Linked DNA regions of Tribolium castaneum. The protein of the gene in region 2 purifies or fractionates together with the protein of the main gene of each other region. This does not show direct contact. Links are inferred from orthologs where the notes say so. Each region holds a gene or a part of one and is shown on either strand. Other genes may lie near its edges.

Evidence for each region. The genes of interacting proteins can lie anywhere in the genome.
Region 1: the proteins of Xpd (region 2) and galla-2 purify together in Homo sapiens (affinity purification with western blotting; 3 studies listed by BioGRID and IntAct, with this or other methods). This does not show direct contact. The link is inferred for Tribolium castaneum from reciprocal best matches to the Homo sapiens genes ERCC2 and CIAO2B.

The regions. Positions count from the first base shown.
Region 1 is NC_087394.1:1,673,194-1,679,176, forward strand, and holds the start of galla-2 (MIP18 family protein galla-2), read right to left. Parts: upstream 4,127-5,983; 5' UTR 3,992-4,126; coding exon 3,974-3,991; intron 1-3,973. Other genes in the region: ltl (insulin-like growth factor-binding protein complex acid labile subunit), read left to right, coding at 4,356-4,669.
Region 2 is NC_087394.1:27,625,126-27,631,099, reverse strand, and holds the start of Xpd (general transcription and DNA repair factor IIH helicase subunit XPD), read right to left. Parts: upstream 3,905-5,974; 5' UTR 3,726-3,904; coding exon 3,721-3,725; intron 3,670-3,720; coding exon 3,570-3,669; intron 3,525-3,569; coding exon 3,270-3,524; intron 3,222-3,269; coding exon 2,988-3,221; intron 2,941-2,987; coding exon 2,720-2,940; intron 2,670-2,719; coding exon 2,536-2,669; intron 1,619-2,535; coding exon 1,089-1,618; intron 1-1,088. Other genes in the region: Tbce (tubulin-specific chaperone E), read right to left, coding at 4,070-4,371, 4,418-4,703, 4,753-5,533, 5,579-5,763. UniProt on the Homo sapiens protein: ATP-dependent 5'-3' DNA helicase. Component of the general transcription and DNA repair factor IIH (TFIIH) core complex, not absolutely essential for minimal transcription in vitro.

The DNA.
Region 1 (5,983 bases), about 26 Mb from region 2:
CTTTTAAGTTATCAATACATATAAATTTTAGCTATTTTTTCCAAAAAATCGACGTTTTTAAGAAATCTAGAAGATTCTAAAGCCATACTAAAGTCCTTAAAACTTTGCTAAAAATTTGATTATTTTAAACATTATTTAGGCAGTTCATTAGAATTTCGGTCGTAATTTTGGCTCTGTTTAATGTATTTTTATTGTATCTGAAATTGTTTACTGTGTTTTGGAATTTTCACTCGAAACATTTGGAAAAATTCAGATTATTTTAACTAGATCTAGCAACGTGAAATAAATTAAACATTTGCTATCAAACAAACAGACTAAAATTGGGTCATAGTCTAATAAGATATCATTGCAAAATTTTAAACTTTTATCAACAAAGAACAAACGTTACGATTTTTTGCCTCAACTTTTTCGTTACTAAATGCCAATTGTATCAACGTGTCTCAGGTCTGTGAAAAATGGTGGATGCGCCACAATGCAGCTAAAAATAAACTGAGTGCAATAAATCGCAAGGGTTTAGTGTGTCGTTTTTTTTAAATGTGTCAAAGAGAAGGCGGATGAAGCGTCCGTTCTATCTATTAATAAATAAAATCTCGCCGAGTCATAAAATTTATTTTGTGAATAAGTAGAATTCCAACGTGATTATCATTGATTTACTCCTGTGTTTACGTTCAGCGACGTCGAAAATTCCTAATAATTTAGCGCCGCAATGAGAATGTATAAGAGTTTCGGACGTTCGTGTGTAAAATATGTATATTTAACTCGATTTATGGGTTGATGTTTTTGTATTCCTTGATCCAGAAGCGATGTATTTACACAATTTACAGCACGCTTTACATTTTATGAGCGATAATTTGATCGATTTGTTGTGGAAACACGACACCGATAACAATATTTAGATGGCATAAAGGAGACACAAGTCTGAGGACTGATCTAAATTTTCAATTGATAACTGAAACGTAAACAATGAATGAGGTGGACAAGCTGGGCTTTATCTAGAGTCAACAGGTGCTGACACAAACTCAAAATTCATTTAACAAATATTCAAACTTTTGATTTTTTTAAATGAAAGAATCATTTATTTACTTATAAATAATTAATTAAATTAATTAAACATTATTAAAAAATAAGGTGTTATTTTACTCCCCTTACTTCATTTTTGTGCGAAATTGCATAAAAAATAAAGCAAAAAAATCACAAAATCGGATCGAAATAAATTTAATTTCTACGATTATTTTGCCCGATTCGTTTTTGGATAAGAAATTCATTACACAAAAAGTTAAAACAAATGTGTTTTTAAACTTGTCTTGAGATTTCGCTAGAGATGATAAAAAAAGAGCACATTTAGTCTAGCACTTGTTTTTTTCAATTGTTTTAACGCACATTCCAGTCAGAAACCTTATTATTTCACAAAATACTCTTAAAAAGAAGCCTTAAAGTCATTAAAATAGACCAAAAATGGCAAAATTTTTTCGATTAATTTCGCTTGAAGTGAAATTTATTCAAAAATAATTGTGAGAAACAGAGAAACATTTCGCAAAATTTATTCGAATAAAATTTTTTTTTTAGATTATTTGAACAAAAACTGATTGTTTTGCAAGATTCCCTCACAAAATCCAGAAATGTACAAATTAGGTCAAAAATCTTTACATATTTTTTTATTTTGTATTTTTATTTTTTTAGACAACTTATAATGGAAGATGAGAAGGTGGAATAAGACGCTCCTAGACCTTTTAGTTTCGCCGTAATCAGCGTTTGAAAAGTGAAAAAAATGTCATAATTTTTGCGTTTTTCTCGGAAACTATAATACTAAAAATTGTGAATGTTTTCAGAATTTTTCGACCATTCCTAAATTAAATATTATTAAAATATATTGCTTAATCTAAATTATTGATATAGATGATACGTCGTATGATTTTATTTATGACGGAACTCAGCTTATTTTATTTATTAAACAGCAAAAGTATGTACTTTATATGCTTAGGCAATAATGTCAGGATGACTTGATTAAATAGAAAATGGTTTAACAAATTATGATTTGTTAGTGTTAATTTTTATAATAAAAAATATTCACAATAATGTAATGTTTTCTGATATGACCTAGTCCTAGCTAAATGTGTTGTTTTTTATATTATATTTTTGCACGTTTAGAAAAAAAATATAATAAAAATTCATATTACTATTTAATAATAATTCGGCTCACTACGTTGGGTTTTTTGAATTGATTAATTATCTTTTGGAACTAGTGTCATTTTTTTTATGCACTAAACAACATTCATCGTTCATTGTTCGTTTTAGAATTATAATTTTATGAAGCGAATTAATATTAATCGTAGAAAAATTCTACAAAAATTCACATGTAAAAAAAATAATTAAGTATGAAAAAGAAAAAGAAACAGAAACAGAAACAGAAACAGAAATAGAAATAGAAATAGAAATAGAAATAGAAATAGAAATAGAAATAGAAATAGAAATAGAAATAGAAATAGAAATAGAAATAGAAATAGAAATAGAAATAGAAATAGAAATAGAAATAGAAATAGAAATAGAAATAGAAATAGAAATAGAAATAGAAATAGAAATAGAAATAGAAATAGAAATAGAAATAGAAATAGAAATAGAAATAGAAATAGAAATAGAAATAGAAATAGAAATAGAAATAGAAATAGAAATAGAAATAGAAATAGAAATAGAAATAGAAATAGAAATAGAAATATTTAATTTCAAAGATCTTAATTCTGCGATTAACTGATTATATCGGGTGGGTCAAAAGTCGTGGATAGGCTCTTAAGAGCAGCTAGATGGAGCTATACAGAACACTATTTTCGATAAAAAAATCACAAAACCTTTCATTTGGCTGAAATTAAAAACAAAAAATGGCAACGCCGTACAAGTACACCTATTTTTATACATTTAAAAAAATATTAACCAAAAGTATTACCATGTAACATTACTAAATGTTGCCAAATTAAAAAAAACACCAATAACTTAAAAACAATTTTTCAGAAAATTGGGTTTTAATAATGACAACAATACCTTAAAACTTTGAACTAAACAATATTAAAGTATCAAAAGGTAGCATAATTAATTCGCTATTGTTTATATTTATTTTTGGCCATAAAACTTGGAACATCCTGTACAGGCTACAGGGTGCTCAAAAACTGGCGCACCAACTCAGTGGTACGTTATTGAGAAGCAAGTCCATATTACGGGAAAAATGTTGAAAAAATTCCCAAAGTTATATTTTAAAAAATCTGGAGCTACAAACTTATTGTGTTAACTTCTTTAGTTTTCATTGTTTTTTTATATTTTTATGTTTCATACCAGGTAATCGTTCCGTAACAAAACGATGAATAATTATTTTAAAATTTACTATCAGATTTTAGCAGTTTTTTTAATTTAAAATTCATCCAAAAAATCACAATGTGTAGATGTGCCAACACTGGGAATTATTTCCTAGGAAACCGTTTCAAAAATAATTTATTTTTATTGTTGCTCAAATTCTATTACGATCACGACTGTTGGGCAACGTTGCCACATATCACTTATTTAAAATTCGTTATTTATCAATAACTTTAATACAAATAGTTTTTTTACTATTTTTACCATTATATGTAACCACTTCTCTACCACACACCATTGAGTTGGTGCGCCAGTTTTGGAGCACGCTGTATATACTATATACATGCAGGTAGATTCAAAAAATCTCTCGGATGGTGATAAAGCACAAAGTGACTTTAATTAGTTTAGAAACATCAATATTAAAAGCTACACCCATAAATGCAATTCCATTAAAAAAAAACATACTCGTAAGTTTGAATTGTAGCAAATCTCAAAAACATCTTGTATGCCTACTTGAAAATAATTTTGGATTAATGAAAAAAAATAAATTTTCTTACATTTACATGGGACAGCCTGTGTTGGTAATTTTTTGGTCACCTGTATTTTTCTAAGGAAAATAAAACTTAATACTTACGTTTCCATCAGTCGGCATCGAAAAAATCCTGACACAAAAAAACCCACTTACCACTGAGCACTAGGTAGTGAGCGTTTGCGCGTCCAAGGGTTTGTTGGGTAAGTGTGTGAAGGTAAGGTAAGAAGGGCCTGCGGCTTCGGCGCCAATCTAAATGAGGAAGTGCAGTCGTTCGTCGGGCGCCACGTCCTCCTCGCAATAATAAATCTCGTTCTGGCCGAATGCATCTAATTATCTTGGTGGAGTTGCACACACGTTGTACCCCGGGGACACCGCTAGAGATATGGCGGGCAGTGGCGCCGCGCTCCACTCAAGAAAATTTAGGCGCCACCGTCACTCAGTCACACATTGACCGGCTCAAAGCCAACACCAAGGGCCTCCTCCGATGACAACCGCCTTCACCATGTCGGCCCTGCTGCTCTCCATCCTGGGCCTCTCCGTGGGCATCCCCCACTGCCCCATGTGGAAGGAGATCGCGCCCTGCACCTGCCGCATGGACTCCACCAAGCTCACCACCATCCACTGCGACAAGATGACCTCCTACGACCAGGTGGTGCGCCTCCTCAAGGGCCACTTCGCGCCCGAGGACCGCGTCTCGCTCAAGATCTCCTTCAGCAAGCTGGACGACCTGCCCTTCAGGGCCTTCAACGAGCTCAACATCTCCATCGAGAACCTCAAGCTCAACCACGACGGACTGGGGTAAGGGTGATAAATTGACGTAGTGATGAGGATGACAAATGACAGGCGAAACAAACAGATAACCTCCGACCTTCTCATGTTTCAATTACAGCGTCGCCTGCTCGATTATTATCGCTGGTAAATTCATTTTCCCGGAATTACTCGCTAATGGCACGATATCGTCGCTTTAATGAATGAAATCTCTGACATCGACGCGGTTTTTGGAAGCGCTGCTGATAAAGACATTCGCAAGAAATAACAAACGGTAATTGATTTGATGATTGCTTCTCTGAAGCGACTTTGCGGACTTAAATCGGCACACGTTTTCACTAAATTGACCATAATTGCACTTTTCCTTTTGGATTTACTCGGAATTCGGACGTTTATACAAATTTGGACAACCCTTATTAAGCAATTTGGCACTTAGTCAAGCTTTTTTCATTTATTTTTTCACTTTCCAATATTAAAAAATGGATAATTTTGCTGTTTTAAAGTTTGAAAAGCCCTAGATAAATCTGTTTTCATATATGATTGTGTTGTGTACTATTGACATATTTTTAAATTTTAGACAGCTCTAGTACAGTTGGGTACAATTTGCTACTGACTTTTTGACACTTATTGCGTGTGCATAATTTATTCTGAGCTCATATTTTATTTTTGATATTACTATATTTTTTTAATTTGGACAACCCTAATAAAAAGAATATATTATATAATTTATTTTTGACGTTTGAACTAACAAATCAATGTTATGTTCTTTAAAACATTAATTTGATATTGACAAACCTAACAATAATTTTCTTTTCATTTGAAATATTATAAATTAAAACATACACGTTTTTGATGTTGAAAATGTTCAATATACTTATAATTTGAGATTTTGTTACGAATTTGCTAAACCTTAGTCTTCTCAGAATTTAAAATATTAAATTTAATTAATTTGATATTTTTCAATTTTGGACAGCCTTAAGATAATCTTTTTTTTGGACAACCCTTAAATGTTGTTGATAATTTGTCCCGTTTTTATATTTCTACTGCAAAAAAATGTTTAATTTAAATTTTTTATTTGAAGTCCCTTAAAAAAATTGACGTTTTTTACAATTTTGGACAGCCTTAAGATAATGGAATAATCTTTTTTTGGACAACCCTTAAATATTCTACATAATTATTGTTGATATTTAAACAATTTGTTCCGTTATTATATTTCTACGGCAAAAAATGTTTAACTTAATTTTTTTATTTGAACTCCCTTAAAAAAATTCACATTTTTTTACAATTTTGGACAGCCTTAAGATAATGGAATAATCTTTTTTTTTGGGCAACCTTTAAATATTC
Region 2 (5,974 bases):
CAAGTTTGTTAATAATGTAATTATTATTTTTGAAGAATAAAATTTTTCGGAATGAATGACGATTTATTGATTAATTTTAAATCAAAAGTATCAAAAGTTTTGAACTTAATAGTAGAAATTTCTAAAGATAAGATCCAATATACTCTTTCACAGTAATACAACTTTCAACTTCCGAATTACAAAAAATTCTGTTACCATTTTCTGAAATACCTACTATTAACTGGTTTAAATCATAAGCAATCTTTTTTGATATCAATGTTTTGATTTCAGGGCTCCAAGGACAACAGAAAGGGTAAGTTTTTACTTTTTTGTAAGTTGTAATGAGTGTTTATGTTACGGACACGTTTGTTCATCTTTTTCCAACTAATCAGACCATATTATATTTAAAAATGGTGAAATATATCGTAGTTGCATTTTTATCAAATTTGCGGAACATCAACTGCATTATTTTGGCACGATTTTTGAACAGGTTCCTAATTAATTAAATGGAACATCCATTTTTTTTTATTTTTCTAAAAACTGTATGTTATGTCTGAAGTTAATAAATCAAAAGATATTTGACTTTAAATGTTAATTCAGTTCTTATTCAATAAATAAATTATAGTAATTTCCACGGATAAATGGTTCAGTTATTTTTCTGTAATAAATGACGAATAATGGCCTAAGCGTTGTTATTAGCTAAAATTTTCATTTTTTCCACTAGTGAATTTTTTTCATGTTTAAAGGTTAATATCGCATCTTTTGAGTAATTAGTTAATTACTAATTACTGTAAGTAAGAGACACCAATCTTTCAATATTTTTATGTGATAAAACTTAAAAGTTTCCTCATTTTTTTAACTCTCCAAAAAATGTTGAAACATACCTACTTTCTTCCTTAAAAATGATTCAATTTTTTTTTTTTTATTATTCTTGGTTTTTGAATAATTACCCCAAAACTTCCTCACAAAGAGTCATGAAAAGCTACGTTCAAAAATGCAAAAAATAAACGGTGTTTATTCCGCACATATACTATAAATTTTGTGCAAATTTATTTAAATAACTTAACATTCAATGGTCAATGATGAACTCCACCAACCTCTGGACTTACCATTGGTAGCAAACAAGGCCTGGCCAACGTCATAGTGAACGAAGACATGATCACAGGATGGAAGTTCAAAATCTTGGGGTACATATCTAGAGGGGATAGGGTTCCAGAGGTTATAACCACGGTTTGAAACCGATCAAAAACCGGTTTTATGGCAATCGACGAATCCAAACAACTGAAATGTAAGATCGGGTTTGACACCGTCGGTGTCTTATCATCAAACGGTTCTACGATTATCGTAAAACCTTTCGTATAAGTGGCCACCAAAGTGGCCAAATGTGTGACTAAAATGACCGGACTGAAGTCGGTCAAGTCTGATATTTCCAAAGTTCTCAACAGAGATGCCAAGCGTTCAGCACAGAAACGTAACGGTTTTCGTTCAATACAGACTTTGGATTGGACGTCTTTTAAAAATCCAGCAGGGCTTTCTTGCACCACGTGCTGGACTCGCAGCCGAGTTTTGAGGTATTCGAGGAAACGTTTCAGGAAACTGACAAAGTGCTCGGCGTTGCGAATATTTCCAGGGACGGCCTCTGAAAATTAATAAATTACGCAATTTAATTTTTTTTCGAATTACTGACATAATAAATAACAATCAGCCCAAAAAATTAATTCGGAAATGGCAATATTTTTGCCTCTGTCTAGCATTTAAGTGCATTTTTGAGCTACAAAATTCTTCTCAAAGCATTACTAAACCAGGCGGACAAATCACAAAATATCATCGAAAATGCGATTATTTTTGCATTTTCCGAGCATTTTGTATGGTTGTTTTAGCCTGAAGTTCAATGATTTCGAATAATGCCCTCAAAAATAAGACAAAAAATAAGCAAATAAGTTTACTTTTGAGAGATTTCAGCAGAAAAAAGATTCTTATTTAATCGAAAATGACATTATTTTTTGCTTTTTTCATGTGTTTTTATTTAGAAACAGTTATTTCGTTGAAGATTGTTTCGTTGAAAAATATTCGACTGAATTAGGTCAACCAAATTTGGCTTTACCGAGTGTTTACCAGGTTTATGAGAAAAAAACAAGGTTTTCCTCCAAAAAAATTCGTTGAAAAAAGGATGAAAATCCAGGAAAATATATCGCAATTGATGCTACCTATTTTATTTATTTATTGTCAGGTCAGGTCAGGTCAGATCTGTTTAGTTTTTTAACTTTGTTAAACATGTTTAAAAATTATACACAAATCGAAAATTATACTATTGAGTTTGTTTCATTCGAATGACCTCGTTTTCGAGTGAAATTTTGCTAAAAATAAGTTAAAAATTATCAAACTTTGAAAACAGTGTTATTTTTTAAATTCTCAAGCTGTTAAGTACAAAGTTTTTTGGCTAAAAATCACTAAATTTCTTCATTTTTGTCAACGCATTAAGCTGTGTCTATATCACTCAGTGTTGCCAACTTAATTTCAACGTCACGGAATATATAAATCTAATTCGGGTATTACCCTGGAGGATGGCGTCGGGCAAGACCGGATTGGCCAAAATGACGTCAGTGTCTCGCGCCACGCTAGCGTCGCGCAGCCCCTCAACTAATCTCTGATATTCTTCTTGCAATTTTTTGTGATCGTCTTCACGCATCCTAAAAAATTTTAAAAAATCCAGAGAAAACTTAAACTTCCGGGGATTTACTCGGCCACAGTACGTTCCAATAACTGGATGTTGGCGGAAGCTCGATCGATAATTCGTTTGTTGATTTTCACACTCATTGAGTCGATGCAAACATTATCGATATTGTGAGCCTCATCGAAAATAACAACTGACTCTCGTGTCAGCTCTTTGGAGACGACTTCGGCGATCTTGGGGTCTAGTAAATAGTGGTAACTGTAGACTACGATATTCGCGTAACTTATCTAGGAAAAAGGGTCAGAAGTGCAATGTAAAGTGTGACCTCAAGTACCACAAAACGAGACAGGAAATAGGGGCACCAGTTGCGGTCCCGTCCGTACTGTTTCAAATCATCTATACTGTAAACCCCAAACGGCATCGTACTTTCTTTGCCATCCAAAGCGAAACCTTCGTAATACTGACAAATGGGAGTTGTATCATCGTAATTGTGCCTCTCCCTTATGTAACTCGCCGTTAGTGCGTGGCATTTTCCGTCCACAATCTTACCCTCGCGCTCAGTACTCACCTGAAATTTGCAAAATCAAGCCCGGTTATGCACCCCCAAATCACCTACTTCCGGGTGAATACATAGATTCTTCCGTGAGGACAAAACCAGCCCCAGGAGATGGGGGTACTCCCCGTCCAACTTCTCATAATACTCGAGCAGTTTTTTCAATTCTTCCATAACTTTCTCGATTTCGGGGACAGTACGAGAGCAGTAGATCAACTTGCGGACGTCATGGGGGTGCTCGAGCATGTATGCAACAACGAGGGAGAGAATGGTGGTGGTCTTACCCGTCCCTGAGGGCATTTCCAAAAGGCAGTGGCCCTAAAATTAACATAAAAAAGGGGCTGTGAAAGGCGGGGAGCGTACTTTGGCGTCCAGGGCCCGCTTGAGCTCGCACATGTAGGCATACTGCTCGGGGTAGATGTAGTCATAGGGGAAGTACACGATTAAGCCATCGACGTTTAGTCTAAAATTTTCGGTTTTGAGGCAACTCAAGTGCCAATAGTCGGGTTCTTACTTCATTTTTTGTATGGTGCTGGGTGAAACCGTGGTGTTTACATTGACCCGGTAGTTTTTTTAGGTTATGGCATGTTTGGAAAAAAGTGCGGTTATGCAATTTTTTGTAATATTTTCTAACAATAGGAACGTTTCTATTGCTGCTAATCGATTAGTAAGGAAGAAGGGGGCCTAAAAATTTAAGTCCTGTGAGCTGGAACCACGTATTCTATCAGTTATTCAAAGATTCTATAATAAGTAGGGTTATGTAATGTATTCAAGTATTCAAGAAGAAAACACCTTTTTATTTGGAAAATATTTATTAAAAACTTTATTGAATAAATTAATGGTTTTGTACAACACAAAATCAATCACACTTTGTCTTTCACGATAATTTTATCACCATTTTGCATTGAGTAAACTCCGATTTCTTTCATTTCATCCTCTAGAAGAATCTCGATTTCTGGATCGCTCTTGCTGGCGTAAATCAAGTGGGGCCTTCCACTCAAGCTGAACATTTTCTGTGTGAGGACTATAAGTTTTTGCACAGTCATTGTGAGAGGCACTTTCTTTTCTACCGTAAAGTCCTCAAAAACTATACTTAATTGGACCAACGTATTTTTAATAATTTTCGGTTTTGAGACAAGTTCACTCTCTTCCAGCTCGCCATATTCTGCAAAAATAACCGTAAAAACGTAACAAAAAAAATATAAACAGACTTTGTATCAATTCCAAATATCTGTTGTGGGTTTTGAGAAAATCAGCCTCTTTGTTGGTACCCTTGGCGTCCAACCATTCAAGACCGTACTTTTTCATGTAGTCGTATTCAGCCCCCCGTCTCTCAGTGGCTTCAATCTCAACCCCATTTAAAATTTTCAAGTTGGCAATTTTTGCGATTATTATTTGATGGATAGTGTCAGGTTCTTCCGATTCTGTGATGGGGTTTTTGGAAAATCGCAGATTTTCTAAACTTTCAAGCCGATTTAACTCAGCCACAGAACGCCACTAAAATCAATCCTCTCATGAACGGAAACGAACAAAGTTTCAGTCTTACCTCACGGATCAAGTTTTTCACAACACATAATTTTTTCATCGCTCTGAAAGCTTGTACTTTGGGGGAATCACCCTCAAACTCAATCAACTGGAGCCCAATATTCTCCAGAATAAGTTGCTCCAAGTGCGGTAAATCCCCCAATTTGCAGACCTCCGTCCAAAACTCAATGTTATTCCCTTCAAGATCGAGCAACTTTAATTTGGTGAAAAACCCCTCAGGTGTGCTAAGCCCCCGGATTTTGTTATTCGGAGCTCTGAACTCTTCAACTGACGGGAAAATGCGTCCAAGTTGGCAAATGTGCCCCCAGTCCAAGTCCATACACCCACAAATCAGAGTTGTCACGTTTGGAAAACTCTCACTAATCGTTGGCAAGTCCAGCAAATTCTCACTAACATTCAGCCAAAAAAGCCTCGGCAACTGGCGGCAAATCTCAAAAACGCTCTCCCAAGACACTAGCAAATTTTTCGAAATGTCCAACTCTTCAATATTCGGACACGTTTCTCCGAGTCGTAGCGGCGGACCCGCCGAATTAATCCCTTGGTCACGCAAATTGACGATTCTCAACGACGTGAAGTCGCTCTGTTTGTGGAAAACCTTGTCAAAGCCGACCATTTCCAAAAAAGGCGCGTTCATGTTTTGTTGGATAAGCAGCTGCTTCTGTTTGTTGATTTTGGCGGTGAATTCATCCTCGAACTGGCCGTAGCGCGACTCAATCGACGCTAGGGCTGATTTCCCGCAATTGACCTTCTCAGGCCTTATGAAGGAACCTGAAGTCGGGTTTCTAAAATTTGGTAAAGTCGGGGTAAAAATGAATGGGGATCAATACCTGGTGGTGAAATATTGCACTCCGTTGACGCGGCCGTCGTGTTTGCCCCGCTGGGGGTTGTCCCAGTCGATCCCGAGCCAAATTGAGGGCTTGCCCTCGATGGGGCCCACGTATTTTACCGTTCCGATGTAACCGCCGCTCTCGACGCGGTCCCCAATTTGGCAAGGAGAGTGCGAATTTGTCATAGCTGTGATGTCTACAAAATTATTTGTGATGATTTTTTTCGCAAAATTACAGTGAGGTTAGGTTGGAAAAAGGGTATAAAAACTTACTTTTTTCAAGTCAGGTGGGTTAGAATCAAGCTAAATTTATACCGTACGGCCAAATTGTTACAATTATTTCAATACATACAACACATTATTGATTTAAAAGTAATATGAATCACAATTTTTTTGA